Lepisosteus oculatus: one gene and its partners. The protein of the gene in region 1 purifies or fractionates together with the protein of each later gene. This does not show direct contact. Links are inferred from orthologs where the notes say so. Each region holds a gene or a part of one and is shown in the gene's direction. Other genes may lie near its edges. The genes, in order: lin37, lin54, rbl1 and tfdp1b.

Region 1 (7,420 bases):
ACAAGGAGCTCAGCTGTGATTCACAGATCCGGCAACATCCACAACACATCCACAGTTTCACTCCCAGCAATGATGGAAGGGACCTGCTTGGACACAGAATCACATCTTTCTCATCAACCCTTCAGAACCTCCAAATCCCATTCTTCAAACTGCACCCCCCTCCCCCAGACCTACCAGTGGTAGGGTCGAGGAGACTGGGAACCGTGGGCCTGCGGACCGGCTCATCCATGCTGAAGCGGGAGGACGAGTCCAGGGTGCCCAGGCCTTCAGAGCTCACAGGGATGGAGCTGCTGCTGAGAGAGGTCTCGCTGCCGGGACATCGGACAGGAGAAACCGCCGTCAGGGGGGTGTGGGACAAACTACCACCCGTCCAAGGATTCAGACTCCTCAGGTGCACGTCAGCCCAGCGGGCTTGAGAGAGGCTCTCGAACCCGAGCTCAGGAGAGGAGAACACGGGACATGCGTTTGTAGCGGAGACCAGAGGCAGTTGCGCTGGGATGCGTCAGGGAAGACCCGTGTGCCAAGATGCTGCCAAGCCACCCTACCTCCTCTGCACCAGCCGCCTGGCCCTCTCCTGGAGCCGCAGGATCTCCGGGTCTCTGGGGTCACGTGGGGAGCCGTCCGACAGAGCCTGGGGGAGCACAGGCAGGGAACACGGCCCACACCTTCAACACCATCATCATCATCATCACTGAGACAGCAGTGTACTCACACACCCTCAACACTGGCTCAGCAATGAAGACAGGGCAGCAGGAAAAAAAATTCTCAAAGCTGTTATGGGGCATATAGCCCCAGTACCATCCTGCCTGGGGATCGTAATTTAAGTTAGGATATGGGGGGGACAGTATTCAGTCTGATATTTTTTGTATTAAGTTACATTCTGTGATTCTGTTTCTCCTTAGGAAAGGAGTTAAACAGCTTCAATCTATAATTTCACTCCAGCAGTTATATCACCCTGCAGCTCCCAGCTGGCAGCCCACTGGAGCTCAGCAGTGTGAGCCTGGTCAGTACCTGGAGGGGAGACTCCTGGGAAAGCCGAGGCTGCTGCTTGAAGAGGTGTTAGTGGGGCCAGTAGGGGGCACTCACCATGCAGTGAGGGCTGCACACTGGTGGTGGTGGAGGGGGTCCCTGTTTCCTAGAAAGCACTGTGAGTGGAGTGCCCAGAAAAGGAATTTGTTTTGAGCAGGTCTGCCTGCAGTGGCAGCTGTGCCCACTTGGTGGCGAGAGGCTCCTGCTTTAACTTTAATCCCCCGAGTCCCTGCGCTGGATCTAGACTGTTTAATGGCAATGGGTTGAAATTAAACACCTCGCAGCCCTCAGCCCCCAGGCCAGCCTCCTGCAATCGGCCGCAGCGTCAGGCTGGGCCGGGCAGAGGAGGGCGGGAGCAGACCGGGGAGACGGACTCACCGCGGGGCTGAGGTCCAGCGCGGCTCTGGGCGGGGAGACGGGGGGGCTGAGCCGGGACCGCGCCGCGGGGCTGGGGGGAGAGGGAGAGAGGGACCGCGCCGCCCGGCGGGCCGTCGAGGAGCCTGCAAAGACAGCGCGACGCAGAGTGAGGCCACGGCCCTCCGCTCCGTCCCAGGAATCAGTCCCCAAGATCCCTGCCCCGGGAACGCCGAGCCGGCAGAGCACAGGAGAGGGGAGAGGAAAGCGGGGCGCACCTTTCTCGGACGTCAGCGCAGAGGGGGAGCTGGAAGGCGGCGAGGCGGGCAGCCACCAGAACCGCGCCCCCTCTCCCTCTGAGGCTGCGGAGCGCCGGCGCTCCTCTCGGCTCTGCGGCCGCCCGCGCCGGAAGCGCTCGACGTACCTGGGGAGGAGACGCGGAGCGGTCAGGGCAGAGGGGCGTCAGCGAGGTCCGCTGGGAGCCTAGTGCACTGCAGACTCGGAGCCTGATGGGCCTCGGATGTCAGAGCCCACAGCTCGTCAAGCCCATCCAATTAGTTACCGGGAGCTGGGCTGAACGAACAGCCACAGACCATGAAGCTCTGGCACAAGGAGGCCCATCCCAGAATCAGAGCCAGACGCTCCGGAAGGGCAACACAGACAGCTGAAAGGAACAGGACTCCCGTTTTAGTCCTGGTTGGAAGGGATTACACATAGGACCTATTGAAAAATCCTGAAAGGCTGCTGACGAAGTCGACCCAGAAGACTATTTCGGCCCAGTGGACCAGAAACCGTGGACACAGGTGGAAACTAACAGGGCGTGCATCCAGGACTTCAACCAGAAAGCCTATTTTTACACCAATGGTGGTGGTGGGAGGTATCGAACTGTGTGCTTGAAGACAGTTCCCCGGGATTATTCAGGAAACAGCTGGATGAGATAACTGGATCCTCTGAGCTGCTAAGAAACCCATCGAGCCAGATGGGTCCCACGGCCTCCCCTTGTTTACAACCCTCACTGGCCACCGTACACCTCACCTTGCCAAGACAGAGTCTTCCCTCGGGCCTACAGGTCCTGCCCAAGCCTGGGGCTTTCCTGCTGGGGCTGCAGGCGGAGGAGCGTCGGCGCCGGGGGAGGGGGCGCAGTCGGCCCCCTGGGGGGAGCCGAGGTCCGTGGAAGGCCAGGACTCGGAGAAGCTGGGCTGGGGGTCTGCGGCTGGGGGGCCGGCCGGGAGCAGGCGGTTGGAAGCCGCCAGCAGGAATCGCTCGTCTGCGGGGCTCAGCGTGTCCGGCGGTGGGGGGGGACTGGGGGGCCGGGAGAGACGGACGGGGCTGAGGGCCTGTGGGGGGCAGAGAGCGCGAGAGATTGAAACTGAGATGGCAGGGGAATAGGCTAGAATAAGTCTGAAGGGAAGGAGGGATGGAGGGAGGAGACAGAAAAAACAACAGATCTTCTCTCTTACTCTCAAGGGTTATAAATCTGGAGGGCTATTATAGATTAGCCCTTTCCTCAGTATAATTACTTGGAGAAACCAAGGCTCCCTTTAATACTGCAACCAAAGCAGATCAGGTTGTCTCTCTTGCCATCCCATTCAAAACGGCCTGAACCAAACTCCAGACATCCAGTTCCGGCAACGGGTTTACTCAGACAAGCCCTGTAGCAGGCAGCGAGAGCTGGAGCGGACCGGCTCAACTCCCACACCCGGTGCTCACCGTCCTCCTCTCCGGCCTGGGCAGCGTCTTGGCACGGGAGGGGTTGTAGTGGGTCTTGGACAAGGGCGGATCGGGAGGGAAAGGGTTCTGCCTGGAGAACACAGCACCACTGTGGAGGGGAGAGGAAGAGCAGGACAGGTCAGTGTCATACAGCACCGGGCTCCACCCACACACCACACACACACCCACACCCACACCCCCCCCACACACACACGCCAGGGCCAGTTTCCCAGAAGGCAATTAACTGTCTTTGAGCTGTGGGATGAAACCAGAGCACCTGGAGGAAACCCACCTGAACACAGGGAGAACATACAGACTCCACACAGACAGCACCCCGGGGTCCCAGCGCTGTGAGGCAGCTTCTCACCTTGATTTCATGTCTCCTTCGATACGTGCTCGCTGCCGGCGGCTTCTCTCCCTGTCCTGCCCCGACCTCCGCGCTGCTCCTGAGCGCCAGCAGCCGGCCGGGCCCGGAGGAGGCCCGCAGACCCGCACGCTGATCCCACGGCCACGCAGGCACCTGCTAACAACCTCACGGCTGGGGGCTGGAGGCTGGACGCCAGGACGTCACGCCTGGTGCCGATCTATCGCCGCAGTGCTGTCACCGGAATTCGCTTAAAATGAGAAACAAACACCCAGTGCGTCTTGCGTTAGTTTAGTGGAGGTACAACTGAGCTTTTCTGTTGCTTGTACTCTGAAAACCCTCAACTGTGTGGTATTATGAAAGTTTCAGCACTATAATAACCGATTATTGTTGTTTTGACTGTCAAAAGTGATCCGTAACGAAGACGGTCACGAGTTTTAAAACGCCGTGTTTAAGGGAGACAAATAATAATTTTACAACAGGCCTTCGTGTACACGTAAAGAACCTTAATCTCCAAACTGCGATACCGTGTAATAGCTGTCAGCTGTAAAAAATAAGATGCAAGTTATTTACCTCCGCTCTCTTCGAGTCTCCATTTCACCCCAACCGTAACCAAACAGCGCGCGCTTCCGGAGGCTCCGGCTCGTCGCCCGGCAACCGCACCCAATGCAGCCAGTGAAAACTACGCTTCCCATAATGCATTTAGGTGCTTTTTTTAAAAAACTATTTTGAGAAATAGAAAATAAGTTAGATTATAGATGGAAACAAAAATAACCCTGAATTCACCTTTAATGTAACACAATTATGGTTTTTAAGGCTCCATATGAATGAAAAAGATTCATCTTGAGCTTGATTAATATTCTGGGAAATGTAGTTTTAGAGCACAGACAGGCGCTTTCCCCGTATTAGCCAATCATATTGACGTAATTCGATGAGTGACAGGATGATTGAGCAATGAAAGTGGGAGGCAGCCTTCGGTTTCCACCAATAGCTGAAGAGTGATCGGGTTGCGCGCGGAAGAGGAACGTCTTTTGGGAAACTGTCTGGGTAAACAAAAATATTTGATTTTAAAATGATGGTGTCTTTTTAAGTTGTCACCGTTTCCTTACCGAGGTGTTTTTGCTGTTATAGCACATGCAGCCTTGGCGATATACACAGAAATGAAAATTGTTTTGCTTCCTAAATGACGTCTACGTGTAAAGTCTATGTGATCACTTTGCTTTTTATAACCGTACCTACGTGGTCGGGTTTGATGTCGCTGCGATCTGCACGGCTACCATGAAAGGGGATCAGGTCTATTAATTAACTGTCTTAGTCAGGGAGGAAGACGTGCGGCAGGACTCTTTCTTTTTTGTCATACCATTTCTGTAAATGAATACAGTGCACAATAATATGAAACTCCTCTGCATTGAAAACTTTAAAATGGGCACTACCCTGCCGCTCCTATTGGCTAGGGTTGGAAATGACGCCTTAAAGTCTACGTTAAATGAGTACCCCATAACGTAGCTCTCCGGTTAAGTCTGCAGAAACCGTCAGGATTTTGATTGCGCTCGTTAACCGATCGAGTCGTGATAAGTTTAATCGGGTTATGTCGGCGATCCCGCCCGTCGCCCTCTCTGTTTTGGGATGTTTTTAGACCTGGAGGGGGGCACGGTACTGTCCCCCACCCCGGGGAAACCGGAGCCGATCTGGTTCAGTCAGGTTCTGACCTGTTGGTCCCCGTTGTTCCTCGGGCTGCTCCTTTTAAAGAAGTCTGCTCTTTGCTCTCTTTTTACTTGAAAGTGACTTGTCTTCTTCCCGGCGTTCCAGGAGAGAAGGAGCTGTGGCCTCCGAGCCTCTCGGGCCGATCCACCATGCTGCCCATGAAGATCAAAACTGAGAAGCCAGGTGAGGGACGTGGAACGCAGCCACAGTGGCCTGGGTCGTTCCCGGTCCACTTTCCTGCCTCTTTGGTGCCGTTTGACCCTCCAGCGCCAGTCGCCCATAAGCCCCAATGCAGATCGGCGTGCTCTGTGTGGATGGGAGTCTGATCTGTTGGCCTTTGTGGCCATGAAGAAATTAACCTCTCAGACTGCGCGGTAAATAAACACACAAGCCGGGCGTTGGGCTGGGGCTCGGCTCAGGCGTGCCAGCGGAAAAGAGGCATTATTAGTGTAGCCTGTGAAAATAAGGCAAAGCACTTGGGATAACCCATCGGCAAGCTACTCGCTGTAGTCATTGGCTCTGTAGTACAGGCCAGGAGCCAGACCCTTGCAGGACAGATATGAACTACGGGTCACCATTCGGAAGCCACTGTTCTCAGGGAATAATGATCTCCTCTGTCCCCTCTTGCAGATGTGGAGGCGGTCAGCGCCAGGAGCAGGCTGGAAGCGGTCCTGCAGGGCCTGGTGGAGAAGAGTGACAGCGAGAGGTTCGTGACTTTGTGCCAGATCAGCATCTTAAAGACTACGGCTGTACCCAGCTGCTTCCGAGCAGGTCTGGTGACACCAGGAGGACAGCCGGTCCAGTGGTTCAGGTCCAGTCCTGTTACACCAGGAGGACAACCGGTCCGGTGGTTCAGGTCCAGTCTGCATACTAATGGTGCCTGTTTTACTCTGTGTCTTGCAGGGAGCAGAACGAGGAGGACTCTGGGAAGATGGGAGCAGACTCGCTGAGCAAGTAGGTAGTTGATCTGAGTTAATGAGCATGTGGTTACTAAACATGAAGTAAAATTAAAGTTGCTTCAGCCACTGAGCACCATGCAGACATCCCCTTCTCTTTCTTTTCTACACAATCAACAATCTAAGAATAATAATCTGTCATTCTTGATGTCAGACAGGAGTTTGTTTCCCTGGGGAGGGTTTAAAATGCTTCGCACGGTCATTTGGAGAGTAACGTCACTCTGGATGAGGAGTGAGCTCCAGGCTTTTGTTTATTCCTAAATCATTCCCCTCTGAATCTCTGGAATGCCCTGCAGCCGACAGAAACAGCACAGGAATCTCGGTGCGTTTATTGTCCGTAGGATTTGTGGGATTGGGTGCTCGGCAGCCCCTTCGGGAGCCGCGGGGGAGTCGTTTCTGTGCCGTGGTGAGATTCCAGACGTTCGGCACATTTCCTCTAATTCGTTCTCCGCTGTGCTTTGCTCCGCAGGGACCTGTCTCCGTCCTCCGCGGGGAAACGGTGAGTCTGTGGCGGTGGGCCGCCTGCGCTCAGGGGGGAGTGGGGGCCGTCGGGCGGGGCGCTGCAGAGGGAGGTCTGGTGGCGGTAGTGATGATGTCATCGGGACCCCCTCGCTCACGCCTCTGCGCCTCTCGTCCCGCAGGCCCTCCTCGCGCCTCCCGCAGCACCGCCGCAAGAAGAGGAAGGAGATGGACGACGGGCTGGCGGAGAGCAGCCAGCACAAACCCAGTGAGAGCGGCCCCCTTCGCCTCTGTCCTCTCCCCCCCGTGACCCCGCCTCCCTCGTCACCCCCTGCCTCTGGCCCCGCCTCCCTCGTCACCCCCTTCCTCTGGCCCCGCCTCCCTCGTCACCCCCCGCCTCTGGCTCCGCCTCCCTCGTCACCCCCGCCTCCGCCCTCGGCTTTGTCTCGCCTGTCTCTCTGCCCCACGGGGCCACTGTTTCACGCACACTCTCTGTCTCCGCCTGTGTTTCTCCCCGTCTCTCCTGGGACGTCCCACTGCCGGCCTCTCTCTCCATCTCTCCCTCTCCCCCCGGCAGACACCTACATCATCAAGCTGTTCGACCGCAGCGTGGACCTGGCCCAGTTCACCAGCAGCACCCCACTGTACCCCATCTGCCGCGCCTGGATGAGGAACAACCCCTCGGTCCGTGAGAGAGCGGGGTCCCCCAGCCCCCCACCCAGCCTGGTGGAGGAAGAGGTGAGCCGCCAAGGTGGGGGGGTGGTGGGAGGGGCAGAGACAGTCACAGCCCTTTACACAAAGCGTGGCAGGGGTGTGAAACAGCTGCAAGACCTCCCTGGATCAG
Region 2 (7,817 bases), on another chromosome or scaffold:
TTGAGGTATGTGTCTAGCTTGTAATCTACATTGTACTGCCTGGGAAACAGACAAAAAGAGTAGTGATCATTTCACCAGTCCGGCACAGCAGAACTCAGTAAAGTAACTGAAGACCCCACTTACTTCTGTCCCGTCTCCAAAGGAATTCCAACTAGGACTTGAGCAGCATTCCTCCAGTCCTCTTCTTTCTCGTAAATTGTTGCCAGGTGTTGCCGGATAGATGCCACCTATCAACACATTAAATCAAAGAAGGAATAGACTTAGACCTTAGAAATGGGTTTCTATGGTCTGCCGTTCATCACTTTAAGACCAAAACCTCGGCTGTCGCTTGCATGTATTCATCGTATCATGTGAGTAACAAGAAGTGTAAAAAGCACTTGCTGCAAGAGGTGAGTCTGGAGAACAGACTCACTATGAAAGAGAAATAGTTCCACCACTCAAACAAATCAATAAATACAGCAGCATAATCGGATTTTGCATAACATCACATTCATGCACAGATCGGATACGTGATTAAAAAGTTAAGACAATCAATGTGAGAACACTACTTAGCCATTGAAATTTGAGCCAGCACCTTCACTATGGTTTGGCAAGAGACCAAAAGACAGACTTCTCAGGTATACTGAGTTCAACTACAACTTTTTAAGACATGTATTATAGTATTTAAGGCCACGACAGTGGTGAGGAAGGTAGCACTGCTGCCTCACAGCTCTTATCTCCTCCAGGGTTCGATTCCTGACTGGGAGATCCTTTGGGTGGAGTTGGCATGCTTCTCTCACTTCCAGTTAGGCTTTCTCTGGGTGCACGTTTCCTCCCTCCTTCCAAAGCCATGCTGGCTAAGCCAACGAGCGTCTCTAAATTGTTCTTGTGTAAGTCCCCTGCGCTGGTGACCCGTGTATTTTCATCTGGTACCCTACAATCCAGGACAGGCTCCCTGTTGCTACAACCTCAGCAAGGATAAACAACTGACAACAAATGGGTGGATTAATAGATTTGTGAAGAAAGCATGTTGTTTAATTCCTTTTGCAACTTAATAAAAGATGTACCCTTTCCAAGAATTAAAAGAGAAGGTTGAACGTCAATGTCACAACACCAGAGCACCTCAATAGTATAACAGGGGACCTGTAGCTACCATAGACAGTAGGGCGAAGGCAGTGCCCACATATGGTGCCAGAAATTTTTAAGAAGAGATATGCACCCACCTGCTCTTCAAAGGAGATGACCCTAGGCTGGATTTTGTCTAGCGTGAAGTGGTACACCTCCTTAGCTGTGCTGTCTGGGAGGTTGGGGAGGTGAGTGCAGAAATCTGTAAGCAGCTGCCTGGAGATCACCAAGCTGACATTCTCATTAACCACTGGGGAAGAGAGAGAAGACCCGGTACAGTGACACATACCCTACCGACACGAACATTTCACTCAGCACAAGAAGTGCTGACGTGTTACATTGCACGAGAAGGGACTATTATTTTTTTTTAAAACCCAAAATGACCATTTCAGATCAAAGACTACTTAGATCCACCTCTTACAAGAACAAAAGAAAAAAAAAGCTGCTTGAAAGATAACAACAAATGGCTTTCCTGTACTTTTGCTATAATCTGGACGGAGAAATTTACACAAAACTGTATTTTAAGAAGAAATACAGTCCCAGTTTCTCAGACCGGGTTATTAAATCTTCATAACAAAATAAATTCATTGACGTTACAGAAAAAATTACAAATTTCAAATGAAGCACAAAATCCTGAACTTTGTGAAAGTAATGCAAGTCGCCATGTTGTCGCAAACACAAACTGCGATGTGATGCAGCCCTTCCTGCTCATGTAATGTGATGAATACACAAATAAGTACAGGTTGTGCAGCAGACATTTCACAACAGGAATGTTCCAACGTGATATGCATGCAGAGTTAAGCAGCATTTGTTGGCAAAACAGTCTAAATCGAGAGCAATATTTCTATTGGATTAACTTGTGGCTATTTTGTGATGTAAATTAGAGGTTTTACAAGCTACTGTGTTCATTTTTCTTTAATTGTGGTTTGAAATGCACTCTTCAATGCTGATTCCTTCTAACCCCGAAATATAAAAATAGCATTGCAGCTCCCCTTTAACACACACATAGCTTAAGTTCAGCTTCTAATATTTCAAAGCAATATAAACCCCACTTCACACATTCCTAACTGAATGGGACGACAAAAGCAAATTCTGCAGCAGTACTTACTGGCTTCAACAAATGCCTTCAAAGCCTCCAGCTGCTCAGCACCAGTAAATTGAATGGCCTTTTCAAGTATCTGTCGGTACCTGTAATAAGAAATTGTTTGTAAGTCAGTAGCACTGGTGTGGCAAAACTTATTCCACAGGTACTTCCAGAGCATAATTGCGATCACTGCAGTGTTTGCTCCAGGACACAATTCACACCATCTTTTCCTAAGAAGTTTTGACATTAAAAAAGTAAACACCTAATCAGAGACAAAATATGTAAAATATAAATCAAACAAACGTTTCAATAAAAGCTTCAATAAAAGTCTGAACATTTTCCAGCTACATTAAAGGAAATACTCACATTTTTCAGTCAACCGTTCACTTGAGGAACATTGTTACAGCCAAGACAAACTATTCCATATGTATCTGTCTACATACCCAGGGGATAAAATGGGATTCACTCATTCGTGAAATTAAACAGCAGGCTGAATAACTCCCATTGCACTAAAACATTATGACTTTATCCAAATGCTATTTTTAAAAACAAGATCAGAATAGACTTGCCTAACAAAAGGAAAGCAACTGGACAATGTTATATACTCGTCTCCAATCCAGGAGCCTCAATCCAGTAAACCTAATTAGGCACAACATAAGGGAACACTTGCATGTTACTGATCAAGTAAGAAAGTCAATTAAAAGCTCAATTAAGGTAGTGCTGACATTTGCAGTTCCAAATTATTTATTTATTTAATACTGTATAATATCCTAGAATTGATAATAATTCTAAGTGTTTGAAAAAATTGAAGATCAACATGTTATATAAAGCCTTCTGGATAGGAAGTCTCCAAGAATATAGCTGGCAATGCTTTTAATATAAAGCAAACTAAAAATTCCTCATGCTCTCGAGGCATGTTTGTGCACAATCAGTTGGTCTTTGTTATGGAAGTAAAAACAGTTGGATGATGAATCATTTTCATGTGTTTTGCAATTTTGTTAACCCTGTTAGCATCTAATTGTATTTCATAGCGCCACTTCATCAATAAACCTAACTATCGGGCCTAAAATACATGATTTTGGTAAATTATTCGCAGTGTAGAAATGTATCTATCCACAAATCTTGAATATTGCTCAAGCCGGTTAACTATCGGACGTTGAAATATAACTTATTCACGGCGTCTTCAAGGAGCTGATCAGTCTAAGGTCTCCTCATTCAAAAGCAATTTTAAATAATGTTTACGCACCGTAAATTATATCACGAAAGAACCATTATATACATAATATTATTATTAAGTATATAACTCTTATCAACAAAAAGCTTAACCTTGTAACTTCCGATTCAATTTATACATCTAAAATGGTTTTACCAAAAAAAAACATCTAGGTGAAAACCCCACTCATTCATGACACTGCGATTGTCACATCACTAGCCGGTACCCAGAACCGCTTTACTCAAAATGCTGGAGTTAATGGGAGGCCTAGGATACCGTCCTCTTCTCTGAAAAGATGTGCTCTTTCAGTTTTTAAATTTTGTTTTACTTACTTTCCAGCAAGATCTTTGTGAGATCCGCTGGAGTTCATGAGCTGAGCCAATTCCTGTCGGACAGCCGCCGCCATCTTCTCGCCCCGAAACACCAACAACGACTCTTTTCTGCAGAGGCTGCAAGAGGGAGTATTCTTTCCAACCAGAAACAAACCTAACGGCTGCCGGATTGCAACGCCTCGGTCCTCCAAGCGGACGAAGAAGGCGCCGAATCTGTCAAAACACAACCAGGAGACCAAACTCGCTCTTGCGGCTACGTCACTTAACCGCGCAAGACACGTGTCGTCATTATGGCGCGCATCCAAAGACCTGCAAAATACTACTCCAAAATAAAAGCCAAGTAATCAAAAAGTTTTCGAATACGCTGAAATGAAATTATGTGTTCAAAAATGTTGTTTGTTTGTATATATATATACTTAAATAGCTGTTTAAAAAATACAATAACAAATGGGCCTACTAATTCGGTTAACATAAAAACATGCTGTTTAATTATGTATTACGTCCTGAAATTTTAGAACTTTATTTAAAAAGATGGACATTTTGAACTTTGTCCTTTATTTTTACATGATGTTAGTTCACCAGCAGTGCACATTTTTAACTGGTGTTTTTAACAAAAATGTTTTATTAAAAAAACTAATGTTTTATTGAACATTAATGCAAAGGAGAAACAATATCTAAAAAGTAAACGAAAAACACAGAACTATGTTGCTAAATAAGTTAACATTTTTACATAAATCGGTTATACTTTTTGCCTTGCTATTTTTAATTGTTTTGATTGAGTTTAAATAACACTGCATTTCCACATTATCTGCATTAAATCAGAGTTTCATTGTACCACTTTGATTTGTAGATGTGATACCCAGTCAGTAGTGATAACAGATTAATTATACACTTTTTATATTTAATCTTGTAAAGTATAGCATAATATCAAACTTCTTAAATTTTAGCTGCAGTGCACTTTTTAATATTAAAAAGTGGGAATGACGAAAGAAGAAGGGAGTGGGGATGGGAGGGGGGTGTCTGCACGTCGTGCGTGCAGTGACGAAAGACGCAATGCGTGGTTTCCAAGGAGGGCGCGGCAGTATTATGGGATGGTGGAGGTGGAATGGCGCTCGGCGCGTGATTTTGAACAAACGTCTCCGTGTGTCGGCGGTCTGGATGCAGCAGCGCAAAGCCGGGCTCGGCTGGGGTTGTGTTGAAAAGATACAAGAAGGCGCCGACAGCAATCACAGCTGGACACGGAGCGCATCGGGGATCTCCAGTAAGACTTGCTCGGGGCAAGCAAACACATCCCAAACCGAGAGGGACGGCTGAGGCATTATAAGCACCAGCTTCCACTGACTATTGTAAATAGCATCCAGGCACGGAGCCCGATTTCGTGTCTCCGCAACAAGAGAACGTCCTGGCCTGACAAAATGTCTCCACTTAGGCTGTCAGATCGGAACGGATGCTCGTCGTGAAGTCCATGAAATCGGTCATCGTTGTTTATTCTTAGCTACATAGGTCTTTTTCCTGATTATTTTCACTAAACAACACCTGCCCCCGGACCCAGGAGAGAGTGCGAGAGAAGCGCTAAAGAGATGTCGATGACAGCCAAGCCCATAGGTCACCTACAACCCTCATTTATTTGGTAGTACAATAATCCGTCTGATTTTGCGTTTCTTGTGACTCCTGTGTCCCATGTACACGCGTTTTCACCCTGGAATGCGTTTTATTTTAAAGAACCTGTAGAAAATCGCTGAATCAAGGGATTTGTTCACGAACAAGGGGTAGGTATCCATTTTCCTCAGTTGTTACAGATTGTCATCCTCAACGATTGACAGCTTAGTGGTAAATTCAGGACGTATTGGACGCCGATGTAGGAATACGGTTTTATTTGATCTATGCAGATCTGTCTCCTAACCGCTTTTAATCTTGTATTATATAACTTTATATACCTTTTGACAGTTTTAGTTCCAACGATCCCTTTTGTACTTCCTACAAAATCACATCACTGAAGTGATCAAACCATAATTTTGTAACAGGTTTTTAAACATAGCTTTTAGATGACTACTTCTTGTCATGCATGTATTGGTTTTAAACAACGCTGTTTTGTCTGAACTGGAACTTTTGTTATATTTAGGAATTTCGCGTTCTGTGATTGAATTGTATAACCACTATAATACGAGGCACTGTTATTGCAAACTTTATTTGAAAGTCATCTGAACCGAAATATATTGCAGCTCGTTTGATATATAACTGTGTGTTTGCCAGCCTATTTTCAACAACGTTTTGCTTTAAAATGAGCAGAAAGCCCAGGCTGCTCTCGCGTGCGGGGACTGGGCTCTGCGGTGCGGCTCTGCGTGTTTTTGTTGATCTTCCTGTTCAGGAGAAGCCTGTGGAGTTTTTAAGTTGTGAACTTTACATTATTTCGTATCATCCAGGAAATGCACAGCTACGTGCTGTTTACGGAGCACTTAGTTTGCTTCTCTTGAACCGGGATCTGGGGGCGTCCCCCCCTTCCCCTTCTCTGCCTTTTATTTTCGTTTCGTCTTGTTTTCGTGGGGCTGGCGATGTTGGTTCTTTCCTGTGAAGTTGCACTGATGACGAGGTGAAAATGGCGGATCTTTCGAAATCCAATCCCGGCCTGAAATAGAAACATCATAACATTCACAGCAGGCAAACTGTCAAGTCAGATTTTTAACACAGAGCGAGAAGCCAAGGAATCGTTCGTTTAAACAAACTGCCTTCCGGGAAGTGTAAAAAATGAAGAGCGAGTCTGCGTCTCCTTTTTTATTTAGACCCGCCGGTATTAATTTGGCGGATTGTTGAGGTAGGACAAAGATTATTTTTTGATCTTCAAAGGCCTAGCTGCTGTCTCTCTGGACGGTTCATTTGTTAGATGTTTTTTGAAAAAGTTTTATTTTAGGCTGCCCAGGCATACGTCTCGCGTTTAGCAGTTGTCAGCTAAGTGTGAATGTGACCCTTTTGGCCAGCACAGCAGAAGTTCGTTTTCTCTCCAGCTTCATTAATAATACAGGTAGACAAGGCTCTTATTATTTTTCTGTGCGGCTTGAAGTTGATCGTTGCAGTGTTTAGGAGACCGGTGTTTTTTAAAGATCTCTGGCTGAAAACCCTTAATTACGATGACATTTTTCCGAATAAAACCAGTCTCTTCCTCTTTGTTTGTATAGCTTTTGCGACAAGATGACTGTCCTTTTCTAGCAATGGGTGTTATCTGTATCCCGTAGAGCAAGACGATCTCTTGTGTAATTCCGAGACCCCTTGATAAGTATTGGCGATTAAAGCCTACGTAGCATAAAATAATTGTAGAGTTAGTTGGTCTGTTCTGGCGCTAGGTTTAAGAGTGACTTTCCTAAAGCGCCTGTCACTCTTCAGGAGTGAAACACAATCGCTTTCTTGCCGTCTTGTCAGCTGGACTCGTCGCTTGCACACCTACTTAAGACAGGTCTCTTCCGCAGAAATGGGAAGCTTGCATTGATGAATTCTTCTCTTTGGCGAAAGGTTCCCTGAAACGGATTTATTCCATCAGTAAAAATACTGCCTGTGCAGTAACTGCACAAAATTAACTTTTTTCGAAAGGTCTTCGTTCATATGATTAAGATTTGGAGTGAAAAGATAGCACAAGAGAAGGAAGTTAACTGGATTTGGCTAGGAACAATAATATTTGAATGTGAGCAAAATATACAACAAAAAACGTGTTGTACCAATGTTTTTTTTTTGTAAAAAAGGAGATTCACTAAGGAAGTTACTTTTGGTTAAAATAACCCACCTCCCTCTGCAGCCTGAGTGGAGAAAAGGGGCTGGAGTAAATCAAAATTTGAACCACCAGCCCATCCTGAAGTCTGCAAAACGTAATGGTGGTTTTCCTTTGAGCTGGAACAAGGTGCCCTTTGGCAAACCGCTTCATTGGAGCATAAGAAACGTTACAGATTAGGCCCATTTAGTACGGCGTGGTCGTTACTCATCAAGCAACATGTATCGTTTTCCGATTGCAGTAAAATTAAAGTTTGGATTTGACTCTTGGTCTAAGAGTAGTAAGTACTGCACAAAAAAACGGAACAGAAACAGGTAAGGCAGGAAA
Region 3 (7,380 bases), on another chromosome or scaffold:
AGCGTCAGTGCTGCGCTGCTGCAGGAGTGAGGGAGATGATGAGCGTCAGTGCTGCGCTGCTGCAGGAGTGAGGGAGATGATGAGCGTCAGTGCTGCGCTGCTGCAGGAGTGAAGGAGATGATGAGCGTCAGTGCTGCGCTGCTGCAGGAGTGAGGGAGATGATGAGCGTCAGTGCTGCGCTGCTGCAGGAGTGAGGGAGATGATGAGCGTCAGTGCTGCGCTGCTGCAGGAGTGAGGGAGATGATGAGCGTCAGTGCTGCGCTGCTGCAGGAGTGAGGGAGATGATGAGCGTCAGTGCTGCGCTGCTGCAGGAGTGAGGGAGATGATGAGCGTCAGTGCTGCGCTGCTGCAGGAGTGAGGGAGATGATGAGCGTCAGTGCTGCGCTGCTGCAGGAGTGAGGGAGATGATGAGCGTCAGTGCTGCGCTGCTGCAGGAGTGAGGGAGATGATGAGCGTCAGTGCTGCGCTGCTGCAGGAGTGAGGGAGTGGACGAGCTGAGTAAAGATTGAAGGAACAGGTGGGAAGTTTCCCCTTGTGTCCAGTGCAGTGGAGGAGTTTCTACTGAACACGAAAGGACTAATGCACCAGCAGAGTGTTTAGCTTATTGTAAAGTTTTAGGGTGTCCTTTCTCCTGTTTTACATATGAAGGTAGATTTGATAAATCTATTACTTTTAAATGATGTAAAATCTATATTTTATTTTTACAAGGTGCCCTTGTAATTTTGTTTAATTCATTATACTGTGTTTGACACAATCAGGACCAGTTGTCTCCATGCTTGTAGTACTGTCCTTTCCACTTCATAGTTTTACCTCTCAGTAACTTCACACCTCGTTGATATACTAGTGTTTGGCATCTCTCTTTATTTTATACTGAGAGGCGTTTAGAAAGGCGATGAATGTTACTGGATTTGGTATTCATTTGTTGCGTTTTTAAAGCTTCTGAGTCCGTTTGCAGCTAAGCCACTTTGACAGAACAGTTGATTTTCCTGTGTTATGTTACATGTTACATGTTTTTGCACAGAGAAGCAGGGCGTGGCAGGCTCACTGGCATCTGGAGGTTTTCTTTGTGGTTTTCCTAGTGTGGAAGCTCACCTGGAAACTGTGCCTCTTCCTCATCCACAGCAGGTTCGCACTGTCATCAGTCTCACTTTTCACAACTAGCATTGATGTTGCCTTGAAACAGCTGGTGGCTTTTTCCTATTTTCTTATTTATTTTGTTTTTTGTTTTTGCTTTTGCCAAACGTTACCAAATATAATGAGAAACCATTATCATTATCGTCCTTTGTTATTATTTAGTTATATTGGAAGTACAAAATGCCTTATTTAGAGTTATGCCTATGGATGTTTCTGTGCATTTCCATATTTGAAAATGTATATAAAAGTACTTAGTGTAGAACTTCATTTTATCAAAACTGAAACCTGGTCTAAGAATCTCACTGGCCTGAGTTCCTTGAAATTTCCCTTTAGTTGTATGCATACTTTTTTTGCTTTCTTGGTAACCTTTTTGCTTCTGGATTTAAAAAGCAAAACGCACAGTACATAATAATAATAATAATAATAATAATAATAATGCAAAGACAGGTGTTCCAATCTGATGCTCTTAATATTTTCTCAAGTGATCTCATAAGCACAAAAATCTGAGGAATTTCACAGATCTCTGCTGCAAGTTCACATGAATGTTCTTTTGTTGGTGAAAAGTGATTTTAAGCGATCCCTTTTTTGTGCTTCCCAAAACTGTTAGACTGCCTGAGCATGGTGTTACTAATTCTGAGTAACTTGGCACGTTTGCGTGTCTTCACCACCGTCATGATACTTTTCAAAACCCCGTTGAGCTTGGCAACAGAAGGTGTGTGCATACAACTAAACTGGGTGGCGCAGTTTTAGTTTCCTGCCCCTCTGACACAAGTCTGGCTGGAGCGTTTGGACTCTCCTCAGAAAAAAAGAAACAGTTCCCTCAGCTATCACGTCGGCGTCGCAACACGAAGACAGTGGGACAAGCCCAGCAGCAGCTGACCATCATCACCCGCTCACAGACAGGACCTGTTCCCTGCGTTTGCTGGGAGAAAGACTTGAATCTCTTCATTGGAGCAGTAATTAAGGGCAGCCGAGGTCACAGAAACTGTTAGTATTTATTCAGTTTACATTCTGTCGTTTGTCGCTATTTACCATGTTTGTATTTTTTTTTCTGTTACAGTCTTGCTAATTTATCCAAAGGTCAGATTGTTTTTGGAGTCGTGTGTATTTCAGATGTATTTATTGTACACTTCTTTCTTACCAGTATCATTTTTATACCTGTATTCTAACTTATAAGGGGTTCAGAAGGAAAACCTGCAGGATCCAAATCTCTTTTCGACACTGACGCTGTTAGTTTTCCTTAAAAAAAAAAATCTTATTTTTGCCTCCAGTGGAAGCAGGGATAGTTTGCAGCAGATTAAAAATGAAACTTTATTGTACTGAATAATGAATTACTAGGCAAAGAATATCCAGGCTGTCTGAGTGTCTCACTGTCTGTGACTGTCAATCATAGCGTCTGTGTCTGTGTACTGTATTAAAGCACCTCCAGTTAGACTTATTTCCTATGTGAGTCGTTTTCCATTAATAAATAAATGTGAATAACAAGCTATTTGAAAGTGGAGTTATAATAAAAAACATATTTATATTCTTGACCTGCAAGTTCTTATTTTTATCCAGAATTTTTTTTATTTCTCATTTTTGTTTAGGTCAGGTTTTTGTCATTTGTAATTAGTTATGCACTGGTATCCCAGCACCTGTACTGTACTAGTTAGAGCACAATACTAAATAGTACATAGTATAATTAGTAATGTAATCCTACAACACTAAAATCACTTATTTACTCCAACAGAAAGGAAAGAGGTTTCCTTCTGACACAAAGCCCTATCGTTTATCAATCATCACAGATTTATGACTCTCATCTTCGGCTGATGGTATACTTTAGTAACTAATAATGTGCGATCTGTTGTTCTAAAACAGGGCTCTTCAAGGTTAATTGTCAGGAAACATTTTGGTATTTTACCGAATTTGTCCTTGTAAATGTCCCATTGGGTGGCACTGTGACACTGTGGTTAGCATTGCTGTCTCTCACCTCTGGGGCCCTGGGTTCAATTCCAGACCTGGGGGTGCTGTCTGTGTGGAGTTTGTATGTTCGGCCTGTGTTCATGTGGGTTTCCTCCCACAGTCCTAAAAAAATACCGGTAGGTTAATTGGCTTCTGGGAAAACTGGCCCTGGGTGCAAGTGTGTGCTTGTCTGTGTTTGTGTCTGTCGTGAGATGGATTGGCACCCCATCCAGGGTGCATCCTACCGGAGGCCCGTTGCTTGCTGGGATAGGCTCCTGCTCCCCCGTACCACTGAACTAGAAGAAGTGGTTAAAAAATGGATGATTATAAAACCCTGACATCACTGGCCATGCCTAGAGCATAAAGTTAAAACGAGCTGGTGTGTCTTCTTGCAAGCACACATTTTGTGTCAACAAGCAAAACTGTCAGCTTAATTCAGACAGTGTGCCTCACAGAGCCCTGTTTAGTACGGTGTTTAGTTCTGGGAGTTTATTGCATGAACAGACAGTGTGATGCTCAGATGGGGCTAAAGGTTTTTTGGACCACAGCCACCTGCACTGGAATTGTAGTTTTCTTTTAATGCAGTGATGGCCAGTGGTTAGCCACCCGGGTGTAATTTTTTTTTCTCCCTGAACCCAAGACTATTCCGGATTGTATGCTACAGAAGCAGAGTGTGTTCTGTGTAGATCTGAAATCTGCCTCTGCAGCTTTTACGGCGTTAGTTTTTATTTTGTTGAACTAGCTCCTGTATTCCCATGTGGACCAATCACATAACTCAAAACATGGTATGTGATCTTTTATTGTGCAATAAAAGATGACTTTCAACTTTCACTTTAAGTGTGCCTTCTGCTTTTGTGTTAGGGGAACATAACCTGTAAGAACAGAGCAGAGTTGAACAGAACAGCTAGAATGGAATATGAATTTACAGTCTTTTATTGTTATTGACTTTGCTAGCATAAGCAGATTAAAGAAAATGACTGCAAGCTGAACCAAATTACGTGAATGTGAAGTTCAAGAGTTTTCTTTCAGTGATTTCTAATTGGACAGCAAGCATTGAAATATACCTGATAAGGACACAAGAAATCTTAATGAGGGGAGACTATCTAGTGCATTCACCTCGTTTGACTGGCAGTTTGATGTCATTGGGTGTCATTTAGCTCTATTCTTTGAGGAGCTAGGGTGTTACATTCAACAGCATGGGTCTTAGTATTTGTCACTGTCAATACCACAGTTCTCACCATAAGATACTCTCATTTACAATTGAGTCTTTATTATCCCCGGGGGAAGGGGCAAGTTGTTTTACAGCAGCAGTGTTGGTGTACTGACGTACAGAAGAAAAAACCGACAGGAACAACAAAATACATATTTGCATGGAAGTCAAGTGTTAAATAATGATATGGTTACGGGTATGAATGATTTAAATCGTTCAAAAATAATCTTTTAAAACATTGGAATAACCTAATTACCAAATTCAGAGTTGACCGACTTCTCTATACCTTTATCCAAACTGTTAATCTAACGGAGGACCGATACAGCACCACATTAGAGACAAAGACAGAAACTTCGGTAGACTACAGTGTGTATCCTGGGGCCGCCATGTTTGAGCGGCGGCGGTGGAGGACGGGGTGGATTTTCGCGCCACTGGGGCCGCGCGGCATTGTGGGATAGCGGTCCTGGAGCCGGAGGGACGGAGCGGGGGGCTGCGCTGAGGTAAACAGGCTGCGCTTTCGGCGAATAGACCCGGCGGCGGAGAAATGCCCGAAGTCGGCACGGAGGCCGGGTCCGAGCCCCGGAAAGTGGACGAGGGCCACGTCCGGCGGACCCTGGAGGCGCTGTGCCAGGAGCTGAACATGGACGAGCAGACGGGCAAGGAAGCCCTCCAGAGTTTCACGGCCATCTGGGACACATACACCCTGGAGGTGAGGCAGACCCAGGATGCGCCGCCGCTGCGACGTCTTTACGGGTTTTATTTTTTTAATTCCAAACGCAGTAAGCGCCCGGGAAGCTCTCTTCGGCAGTGTCCGTGTGTGTGTGTGTTTGTCTGTCTTATTGTCGTTTTGTGTTTTGGTGTCTCTCTCGCCCCCCTCCCCCCGGAGGTCGTTGTTAGCGCGCAGCCGGCGGAATGAACTTCGGCAGCTGAGCTGCACCGCCAGGGTCGCGCAGTCTGTAAACAACACACCCCCGTCTGTCCCCCCGAAACGGGTCTGTTTCCCCGCACCCCCCTGTCTTCCGCCTCTCCTGTGCGCAGCGGAGGAGCAGGACTGTGCCCGCCCGGCGACTCTGTGTTTGTTTACGTGGGGGTCCCGGCTGACATCGCTGGCCCAGCCCGGTCTGTTGTGTGCCGGCAGCGTCAGGGGGAACATGTCGGAGTTCCGATGTGATTTCCGAACCGAGGACAGGGGCTGGTCGGGGCTTTAAAGGGAAGCGAGGGGCGTGTGTGGGAGACACGGGGCTGCCGGGGCGCCATTGGCCGGCGCGGCGCAGGGGGGGGACGGCGTGTGTTGTTGTGTGTTGTGTGTTGCTCTTGCTTGTGTTCGTAGTGGCAGGCTGTGCGCATTTTCAGTTCGAGGTCTCGAAGCGCGAAGTATTTATTATCTCAGAGGCGCAGGTAAAGGTGATTTCCAGGCTGAAAAGGAAAGCAGCGTTTTCTCTGCGGAGCCTCCTTCATGGGGCACCTCTTTTTCAGCAGGGAATAAACCTTTACCTGTTCCTTTGCAGCCTAGGAGAAGATAGGAGATCACCTCATTAGCCATACACAATTTCTTCATAAGAAATACATTTTAGCCTGGAATAAATTTGTCTTTTCGCATACACCAAGTTGCTCTCCATGAGACACACGGACAGGGAGAGAAGCTTGGGGTCAGAGCGCAGGGTCAGCCATTGTACAGCGCCCTGGTGCAGCTGGGGTTAAGGACCTTGCTCAGGGGCCCAACGGAGTAGGATTCCTCTGCCGGCCACGGGATTTCAACCGGCAGCTCTCCAGCCACAGGCGCAGATCCTGAGCCACAGAGCCACTGCTCCGCCTGCGCATGCTGATGCAGCCAGCTACTCGTATTTCTTCTTGGTAACAGTGATGCTTGTTGGGGAGTCGGTAGGTGTTCAGCATCTTTTTAAACTCGGAGCAGTCTCCCTCCCCCCAAAGAAAAATCTGACCAGGCTGGAATAGACATTCTTGAAACGCAAGCTGACGATGGCTGTACCCTCCCATCTGTGATATGAAGCCCACACCCATTCACGCATGGAAGGAAAGACAAATCCAGGAGCTCTGTGACGGGGGAGAGGGGGGTTTCCTGTTTATCCTGTGTGTAGCTGCTCTGGAGGTTCTGGTCTGTGATGCTCGTCCTAAGGATTGTTGTTATTAGGTTATACCATGTATTTATTGTTTTGTTTATTGTCTGTACATTCTGTCACTATGTTTTGTAATGTATTGTGTACATTGTGTGGTATCTGCTGTGCTGCGAATGTCCTGAGAGAATAGTGTGGATAAGAATCCTATTGTATTTATGGGAAATAAGATAATATAATAATATTCTGCTCATCCTGCAGGGTGAAGTGGCACACTGGCTCGCCTGCTCTCTCTACGCCGCCTGCAGGAAGGGCTGGACCCCCACAGTGGGCAAGGGGGTCATGGAGGGCAACTGTGTCTCCCTGACCAGGATCCTGAGGTCCTCCAAGCTCAGGTGAGCCCCCACTCTCCCCAGGTCACCGGATTAACCTTAACCGTTACCCTTTTCCGCCCATCTGAACGCCAGCACTGCTGCTGTAAAACAAATTGCCCCCTCGGGGATAATAAAGACTCCCTCTCAGAAAAGACCAACTAAGAATGTTTGTTTTTTTATTCATGTGGTCTAGAAAAGCTGTTCTAACATGTGTCTCTGCAGTTGAATTCCCCGACATAACCTGCTCTGTTTTCTGTCTCCCCGTTTCTTGTCTCTCGCCCGGACCCCAGCTTAATACAGTTCTTCAGTAAGATGAAGAAGTGGGCGGACATGTCCAGTTTGTCCCGGGAGTTCCGGGAGAGGATAGCACGCCTGGAGAGAAACTTCGAGGTCTCGACCGTGATCTTCAAGAAGTTCGAGCCAATATTTGTGGACATGTTTCAGGATCCTCAGGGGGAGCCGCCTCGGCCGGCCCGAAGCAGGAAGCACAGGTACGACCCCCTCTCTGTCCCCGCGCGGCCTTGGAGCCGCCATCCCTGCAGCAGCTGGAGCGTGGGGTAGTGTTGCTGTTTACTTCAGAATGGCCAGTTCCTCTCTTCTAATACTCCACCAAGGTGGGACTGATGTTGTTAATGAAGTCACTATC
Region 4 (7,471 bases), on another chromosome or scaffold:
ATGGCGACTCTGTCAGTCGCCACTCCAAAGGCCAGTCATCCTAATGCTCAGTGTAACAGCACTTTATGTATTTGTGATTTGTAATTGACATATTTAACCATATGAATTTATGATGCACAATTTTCATCAAAAATGTGTGTTTTGAGCTTTGGAGCAGAAGGGATTCTTTTTCCTGTCATGTGCTTTGCTTTTATCGGCCATGACATGTTATCATGTAGCTAGAAAGCCTGCAGCTGACGGAGAGAGGAAGCCCGTGCAATAAGGGCTATTTTAGAAGTGCAGATATTTACAACAAAAAAATGATCAACATTCGAAAAGGCATCCTATGATGTTGCATAATGTGCTATGCCTCTTGCAACTTCCTTCCTTTGTGTTACATTGCTGGTCCTGGTATCTAGACAAGTGGAGATAGAAGCCTTTATTCGAAATGAACGGCACTGGGTACTGCAATAGTGATTAAAGGAGATAAAAGCACTTAAGTGATTCTTTTTATTCATGCATCTTTATTATTTGTTTTTCTAATTGTGATGTAAGGGAGTGCTCTTTGCCAGTATCAATGGGTTGCATATTTTTTAAAAAAATGTTCCGTGTCGGAGCATTACAAAATTAACCTCTTTATGTGCCCAAGTCCTGTTTTTAATATTTTGCTCACCAGGGCGTGACCAACAACAGAAGCACCGATAACTGCACAAAACAGAAAAGGGAATGCAAACAAAACACAGGGCGCCGATCAGGCAAACTGATTTGACTAATTCTGAAAAGGGGGACGGTATACTGCAACATACACTGCATACACATTTATTGTCTTATGCAAATAGGTCTGTCGCCCGTATCAGCCCTGCCTAAAGGATATTTTACAGAAACCGGGCAGGCCCTGCCAGCAGTGTTGGTTTGCATTCTTTTCAGAAAACCCTGGAGTTCCAGGTAATGGCTAAGCCCACTGTAGAAGGTACTCTGGTGGCTGACGCACGGAGAGGGAGGAGAGCTTGAAAGAGGCGGGAAGGTGGTGCTTTGTTTTTGCCTTCCTTGCGTTCTGTGACGGCGCTCTTGCGTGCTGCAGGTGTACCTCCTCATTCTGAGCGTGACCACCCTGAGCCTGCTGCTGGCGCCCGTGCTGTGGAAAGCCGCTACGCTGAAGTGTGTCCCCAGAGCGGAGCGCTGGACGAGCACCTGACTGTGGCGCCTCTCCTCCCCGCCGCTTCGGATCTGGGGCCGGTGCCGGGTCCGGCTAGAATTCCGTTTCCCAATCATCGTTTTCATTGGGTTGGGCCGGTCGCCGTGACAACACGACGCTGTATTTCATCAGACACTTAACGTCCTGAATGTATAAGCGGGAGACCCTGCAGTTTTGACTGCCTTGGCCAAAGGAGCGGTCACTTGAGTGTGAAAAACAGCGTGATGAGAGAGTTTGGATCAGTAATTTCGATTTAGTATTTTTGTACAATGTCCAAGGCGAAACATTTGTGGTTTCTGGGAGTGATCATCCTGGGTAAAGCATGACTTTTTAACAAAAAGTCTTGTCAGTTCAAAACTGATTTAATATAAACACTGTGTCCTGAACAGTCGGGAATATGTGTACATATAATTTGCTCTTATTTGGTCTGTCTTTAAATTATTTTGACCTACAAGTGTTTGACGTTCCCTGCTTCACCTAGAAAAGTCTGTAATTTTGAAAAGAAAAGAAAACTGTAGAGAAATATAATAAGGCTGTAAAGGAACTCGGGAGCAATGAAGAGGGGCCACTTGCTAAAGAAGAAACATCTGTCACAACGTGGACTGAAGATCCATTGTTGTCTGTCATGCATGATATGTCCATGTTCACACATGGAGGGCCTTCAGCTGGTTGAACAAAAGCAGAAGGCAGGATGCACCAGCTTGTATGTAAATATTGGCACTTTTAGAGCTCTGATATAGCTTGCTTATTATGTTTGACCTAACTTGTCTGAGCAGGTGCTTCCTGTAGGATGTTTTTAATGTGAAACATTATTTGAACCAGTATAGGAGAGCTAATTTGGGGCTTACAATGTTTGTGATTTGTAGGGTTGTGTCAGTGCAAAGGTCTATATTTTTGTATGTCATGCCTTATACCTGCTGGCATGAAAAATAGTTCTTGAAATTCCTAATCGTAGCCACAGAGCATGCAGGCCAAATCAGTTGCTAATGTTGGTTACATTACTGACATTCCAATCCTGCTGATGACACTGTTTTGAAATAATTTGTCTTGAAAGATTGCTCAGGTTCAAGACCTACTCTTTTTAAAAAGCATCGTAGCAGCAATTTCACATTAAACTTTATTTTTTTTAATACTGTCAGAATTCCTTAATTCAGGCTGCAAATCAGGCAGTTTAATTTAGGTTTAAACCGTTAATTGGTTTGATGTCCTCTATCTTCCATTAGATCAAAAGACAACAGCTAAATTAGGAAGAAAAACAATAGATCTTCGATCAAAATTGCACGCTTCTTTTACCGAATGCTTGTTTTAGAGTAATATTTATTTTATTCTATTTTCAAAAGAGTGGACCCTTTCCAAATTATGAATGGCATAAATTATTGGATTAAAGACATGGTCTGCGCTGTTCCAAGGCTGTCTTTGATTGAAGTTATCTGTCTAAACCTTTTTGTGTTGTCTGAGCCCTTACGGTCTGAATCCTTCAGTTTCAGAAAAAATGTAAAATAAGTGCCTTACAATACATTCCACATCTCCCTTGTGTTACCTCGCCATACACTGCATGGATGTCACGGTACCTTTAATATGCTTGCACCTACGTACTTCTTAGTCCTTAAACTTCATCAGCATACTGTAAGGGGGTTCTTAATTCTTTGACATGGGTTTTCTGGCCTGTGCTCAGTATGAAGTAAAACTGGCCAATTGACCAGTTTTCCGCTTGCTTATGTCTAAAAGGTTTGTGTGTGTTTTCCAGATGCTTTAAGTATCCGTTACAAAATCTGGACTTTCTGCGTTAGTCCAGTGCGGCGCAGGTAATAAGGCATCCATGATAGTCATCCTTCTCATTCTAAGCACAACCAAAGAAACCCTTTTAAACACTTACTGTGGCTTTTGTTTTTCTAAAACACAGAAATGTGTAACAGTAAATTTGAAATGGGTTTTGTTACCAACGGTTGCCTTTTTGCCAATTCTCTTTTACGTCCTGTAAATGTAAAGCGCTTTGCTGCTAAGTGTTTACATGGCTTTCTGCTGGGATGCAGATGAGCATGGCTGCTCTTGCTTTGAATGCATACCGGAGGCACTGATGATGCTTTGCTTTGCAGTGCTTTGGCAGTCAGCTTGGGAAGAATTGTGTGATTACAATAAAGGGACCCATTCGGGACCTAGAGCGTTCATGCTCCTCAATAGATTGCACTTGTGAGTTTAAAGAAGGTACAAAAGTTTTATGAAGTTAAATTAAGGTGTCAGGTGTTGTTCCAGTCTATATAGTGCATCACATCCTGTGACCATAACACTAATATTTTTGTAAGGGGAATGTTTAAATAACTTTATTCAGAAATGAAATATAACTTTTTTTAAAAACAAAGTGGTAGCAGTGATTATTTTATTCGGATGAATCAGATTTCAAGCACAAGCGTTTTAGGAATCTTTATTTTTTATTGGTTTAGAAAATGGTGTTCAACGATCCAGACTATGTGAATTTATTTTGTTGTCCATCTAATGTAATGTGACTTTTTTCATTCCACGCATATCAATGTGTAAAGTGCTGGGAAGGATTAGTGGATAAATAAAAATAATAATAAAATAACATAACATTGGAATAAATGTGAAGTATCATTGTGATTTGTTAAAGTGCTAAACCACAAAGCTGTGAAAGTACAAAGTGGAATGTATCTTATTTTATTCCATGATGTAGATTACTTTATTAATGACCGACAGAGAATGCTGTTTCCCTGCCAGCATTCCTTGTTAATATTCCAGTTAATCACTGGGATTACTTTAGGAAAAACTGCCCGGTTGCTTTAGCTCAAGGCTTCATTTTAATAAATAACAATAGTTACAGTATTATGCCATCTTATAGAGAACTTAATTACACCACTTCTCATTGTTGAATAATTTCCTATCATATTATTTCCGGACTATCCAGCTCTGTTTAGGTTATTTAATTTAACTCTCAGATGTAATTTACAAACATTCCTAGTGTTTTGAACGGGTATGTTATCCTTGGACACCTCGGGCTACTGTAACATTTACTATGGAAATCGGATACATTTTTTTTACACATCGAAACCCAAAAAAACAAAAGCCAATCCGATCCCACCAGCCACCTCTCCACTCCCAGCTCCCCCTCTATCCCATAACCCCCCGCGCCAGGTGCCTCCACCAGAGCGACGGCTTTACCGCCAGCCATTGCGAGAGGGGGAGGCGTGGCCTCCCCACCCGCCCCCCCCCCGCCTCCTCCCGCCGGCGCGATGACGTCGCCCCGTGCGTGCCCAATGGGCGCGCTCGTTTTGTGGACACCGCCAAGATCAGTTTTGTCGGCCGGAGAGCAAGGAGCACAGCGCGCTGGAAGAGGCAGGCTCGAGTTGGGAACCTGGCGCTGACAGGTTCTAAGAAAACACCGGAGCGCACGGGATAAAAAAAAAAAAAAAAACATTCCGTGGGTGGAATCTCCCGCGCCGCGCCACGCCACGCCGGGGCAGGGTTATGAGCCTCGGGTTTTGAGCAAGTAAGTGGCGGACGGACCAGTAACCACCCCCCCCCATCCAGCGCAGAGCAGAGCGTTTCGTTTTACGCGAGGGAGTAGTTTTGACACAGATGGCTGAGGCGACATTGCAGGCGAGCGCCGGAGGGGTCCGCGAAAGTTGAATCCTTACGCCAGGATTGCACGCATGCGAGCGGGGACGTGGGCGATGCTGGCTTCGCCGTGGCCCCCTGCGTGACGAGGGCTGCAGTCCCGGCTTGGTGTAGCCAAAGGTCTTTTATTCCCCACCACCACCTCCCCTCAATCCTCTTGGTTCTAACGGCAGTGAAAGTCGGTGTGATCCAGGTCCCAGCTGGGTTACTGAAGGGGCGAAACGACCTGGGCTTTTTTGTTGTTGTTGTTGTTGTAGCTTTGGGTTTGACGTCCCGTTCCAAGGTAAACACAAACCTCTAGCTTCCTTTGCGGCGGCGACCCCGGCTCTCTGCCTCCCCAAGCACGAGTTATAGCCGTGGTCTGAGATGAGACGGGCGATCGGGACAGAGATGAACTAGCCGCCGTGCCTGCCCTGCACGCTTGAACCCGGGGGAGACGGCCCCCAGGACAGGCGCCGGGACCCCCACGGCTGTGCTGCCGGGTGACATGCCGGAGCCGGGACGGGGGCTCGGAGCAGCGTGCGGCGGCGGCGGCCGTGAGAGGCCAAGATGGCAAAGCGACCATTTTGTCGAGGACGGGCTTTCCGAGAGCACGCAAGGGGCTGCGTTTTGAGTCCTGCGTGTCGGCGGTGTAGCTCGGGGTGGCGTTAATTCTGACAGAATGGCAGACTTGGCCCTTTTTTGTGTGTGTTTTCTTTTCAGTTTGGGGTTTCCTGTTGGGTGTACGGGTTCAGACCACCTCTTCCTCTCCCACTGCCAGCCAGCCAGCGCAGGAGCCGGAGTGCAGCTGAATGACGCCGGGGCAGTTGTAAGTTTGTTGCAGTTGATCGGAGGTGGTCGGTGCCTTTTTGTTTTTGGTGGGTTTGGGGGGGGGGGGGGGGGGGGTCGTTTTATTTTCCGATGAGCTGGCGAAATGAATTCGCGTGTGGTGGCACATTGTAGCAATCGGGGCGTGCAAGTTCAGATGTCTTAGATTTTTGCTGTAACCACCTTTTGGTTTTTAAAGAGGACGTGCGTTTCCGCGTAAATACTTTTTTTTTTACCGAAGGTGCAATAGGAGGATTTTCGGGCAGGTTTTAAGTCCTCACCCCCCCCCCCCCATCAAGGGGACACGTACTGTATCGCCGAAGCAGGTTGCAACAGTGGCCGGATTAGTCCGGACTCTCCAGTTTCCAGAAACGCGTAGGCCTCACGTCGCCTGTTTTTCTGAAGTTGGGACAAGCCGGCACGATCCAGCCCAGTGTGTTCACGGCCTGGAAGCGGGCTCCCATTTCGCCCAGAAACGGGTTTTGTTTATTTCCGACGGTGCACCTTTTTGTGTTCACAACGCCCGTGCCCGAAGGAATGGAGATGCTGGAGTGCCGGCCTGCTCGGTGAAAGGGATTCAACTTCTTTGGGGACGGAGGTGGGGGGGTATCTTTGCAAAAAAAAAAAGGGCAAAACAAAATGAACATCGTGCTTCCTGAAAGGGTTCGCGTTTTTCTGCACGGTGCAGGCTCTCGGGTGCTGTGCCCACGCGTTTAAAACGATACTCTCTCAGCTAGGACAGACCAACCGGAGGCCTAGCGCTTGTTGGGGGGGCCGCTAATGTTATTCAAACGGTCAGGCTGACACCCGGACACGGCTTGCATGTCAATGACAGGGGACTCGTGTCCCTTGTGCGTTAAAATGGACACCACTTTCACCCGGCGAGCACCACCGGCGCTTTGGTGGCAGCTTTGTAGCCGCCTCCTCCTCCTCCTCCTCGTCGTCGTTAAGGAGAGAGTGTGTCTGTTGGGTGGTGTTGACGGTGTTCAGTCTGGCCTAGAGGGGGGTCTCTCGGGGCCCAGCTGTTGAGCTCAGGGGTGGTGGGGGGGGCTCTCAGTGTCTGGTGTTTTTATTAGGCGCCCAGTACCTTTCTGGAGGGGGTCCTGACAAGGCCAAGAGACACCCTGAGCTTTGATGTTTTTTTTTTTTCCCTTCCTTTTCCAGCTGAACTAAATGAACACCTCTCGCGGGGAGCTCGAAAGGTAAAGCCTGCAGGAGGGCCGGAGCCCGGTCCGAGTCCGAAACGGCGCCCCACCCACCCCCAACCCCCCACGCAGGCGGGTTAAAACCGGGCTGACTTCTCTCTCTTGCAGGCAGGCCTTCGCAGAACACCCTGAGCCGTTTTCTCTCCCTCCCGAGACGCCAGCGCATCCCTTCTCCCAGGACTCGGTATCATGGCGAAGGATGTGAGTGAGGGGGTGGGGAGGACACTGGCAGGGGCGGGCTGCGCCTCGGCTCTGTGGCCAAGAGGCCTGGGCTCTGTGCTCTGCTGTTGAGACGGCAGGACCTTCTGCCATCGGGTGGGGTGGGAGAGAGAGAGAGCTCATTCCTCATCCTCACTCTCTGGAGGTTCTCTGTACCCTGAAACGTCGAAGCAGAGCGTCCTGGGTCTGTACAGAGCCGGCCCGCATGCGTGCGTTCTCGGTAGGGCTTACTAGTCGTTGACACGACCTCGCCATTTTTTTTTCCAATCCCGATTACTTCCCTCCAGGATTTCGGTCGCGTGGAGCACCGGCCGGCCGTTAAACCCTCCACACGCCAGGCCGCGTTTGGCAGTCTCTTCTTGCAGGCTCGTGGCCTGGGTAGCACCCCCAGCGCACGCCTGGGCTCTGCCGAAGATTGTGGGTTTCGTGATGGCAG

The links.
Region 2: the proteins of lin37 (region 1) and lin54 purify together in Homo sapiens (affinity purification with mass spectrometry; 4 studies listed by BioGRID and IntAct, counting the BioPlex papers as one, with this or other methods). This does not show direct contact. The link is inferred for Lepisosteus oculatus from reciprocal best matches to the Homo sapiens genes LIN37 and LIN54.
Region 3: the proteins of lin37 (region 1) and rbl1 purify together in Homo sapiens (affinity purification with mass spectrometry; 3 studies listed by BioGRID and IntAct, with this or other methods). This does not show direct contact. The link is inferred for Lepisosteus oculatus from reciprocal best matches to the Homo sapiens genes LIN37 and RBL1.
Region 4: the proteins of lin37 (region 1) and tfdp1b purify together in Homo sapiens (co-immunoprecipitation; 3 studies listed by BioGRID and IntAct, with this or other methods). This does not show direct contact. The link is inferred for Lepisosteus oculatus from reciprocal best matches to the Homo sapiens genes LIN37 and TFDP1.

What each region holds. Positions count from the first base shown.
Region 1 is NC_090722.1:10,937,202-10,944,621, reverse strand, and holds the start of lin37 (protein lin-37 homolog), read left to right. Parts: upstream 1-4,418; 5' UTR 4,419-4,504; intron 4,505-5,266; 5' UTR 5,267-5,310; coding exon 5,311-5,344; intron 5,345-5,791; coding exon 5,792-5,867; intron 5,868-6,064; coding exon 6,065-6,115; intron 6,116-6,586; coding exon 6,587-6,616; intron 6,617-6,758; coding exon 6,759-6,844; intron 6,845-7,153; coding exon 7,154-7,314; intron 7,315-7,420. Other genes in the region: proser3 (proline and serine-rich protein 3), read right to left, coding at 175-308, 546-631, 1,408-1,529, 1,662-1,807, 2,419-2,720, 3,094-3,202, 3,461-3,471.
Region 2 is NC_090698.1:27,535,357-27,543,173, reverse strand, and holds the start of lin54 (protein lin-54 homolog), read left to right. Parts: upstream 1-4,810; 5' UTR 4,811-4,994; exon of another isoform or gene 4,995-5,502; intron 5,503-6,101; exon of another isoform or gene 6,102-6,323; intron 6,324-6,329; exon of another isoform or gene 6,330-6,545; intron 6,546-6,625; exon of another isoform or gene 6,626-6,752; intron 6,753-7,817. Other genes in the region: cops4 (COP9 signalosome complex subunit 4), read right to left, coding at 1-39, 124-227, 1,203-1,354, 2,213-2,292, 3,734-3,807. UniProt on the Homo sapiens protein: Component of the DREAM complex, a multiprotein complex that can both act as a transcription activator or repressor depending on the context. In G0 phase, the complex binds to more than 800 promoters and is required for repression of E2F target genes.
Region 3 is NC_090711.1:748,742-756,121, forward strand, and holds the start of rbl1 (retinoblastoma-like protein 1), read left to right. Parts: upstream 1-4,362; 5' UTR 4,363-4,829; coding exon 4,830-4,994; intron 4,995-6,621; coding exon 6,622-6,755; intron 6,756-7,024; coding exon 7,025-7,225; intron 7,226-7,380. UniProt on the Homo sapiens protein: Key regulator of entry into cell division. Directly involved in heterochromatin formation by maintaining overall chromatin structure and, in particular, that of constitutive heterochromatin by stabilizing histone methylation.
Region 4 is NC_090710.1:28,862,671-28,870,141, forward strand, and holds the start of tfdp1b (transcription factor Dp-1b), read left to right. Parts: upstream 1-4,471; 5' UTR 4,472-4,676; intron 4,677-4,722; exon of another isoform or gene 4,723-4,924; intron 4,925-4,930; exon of another isoform or gene 4,931-5,087; intron 5,088-5,506; exon of another isoform or gene 5,507-5,612; intron 5,613-6,775; exon of another isoform or gene 6,776-6,813; intron 6,814-6,924; 5' UTR 6,925-7,005; coding exon 7,006-7,017; intron 7,018-7,471. Other genes in the region: tmco3 (transmembrane and coiled-coil domain-containing protein 3), read left to right, coding at 1,061-1,174. UniProt on the Homo sapiens protein: Can stimulate E2F-dependent transcription.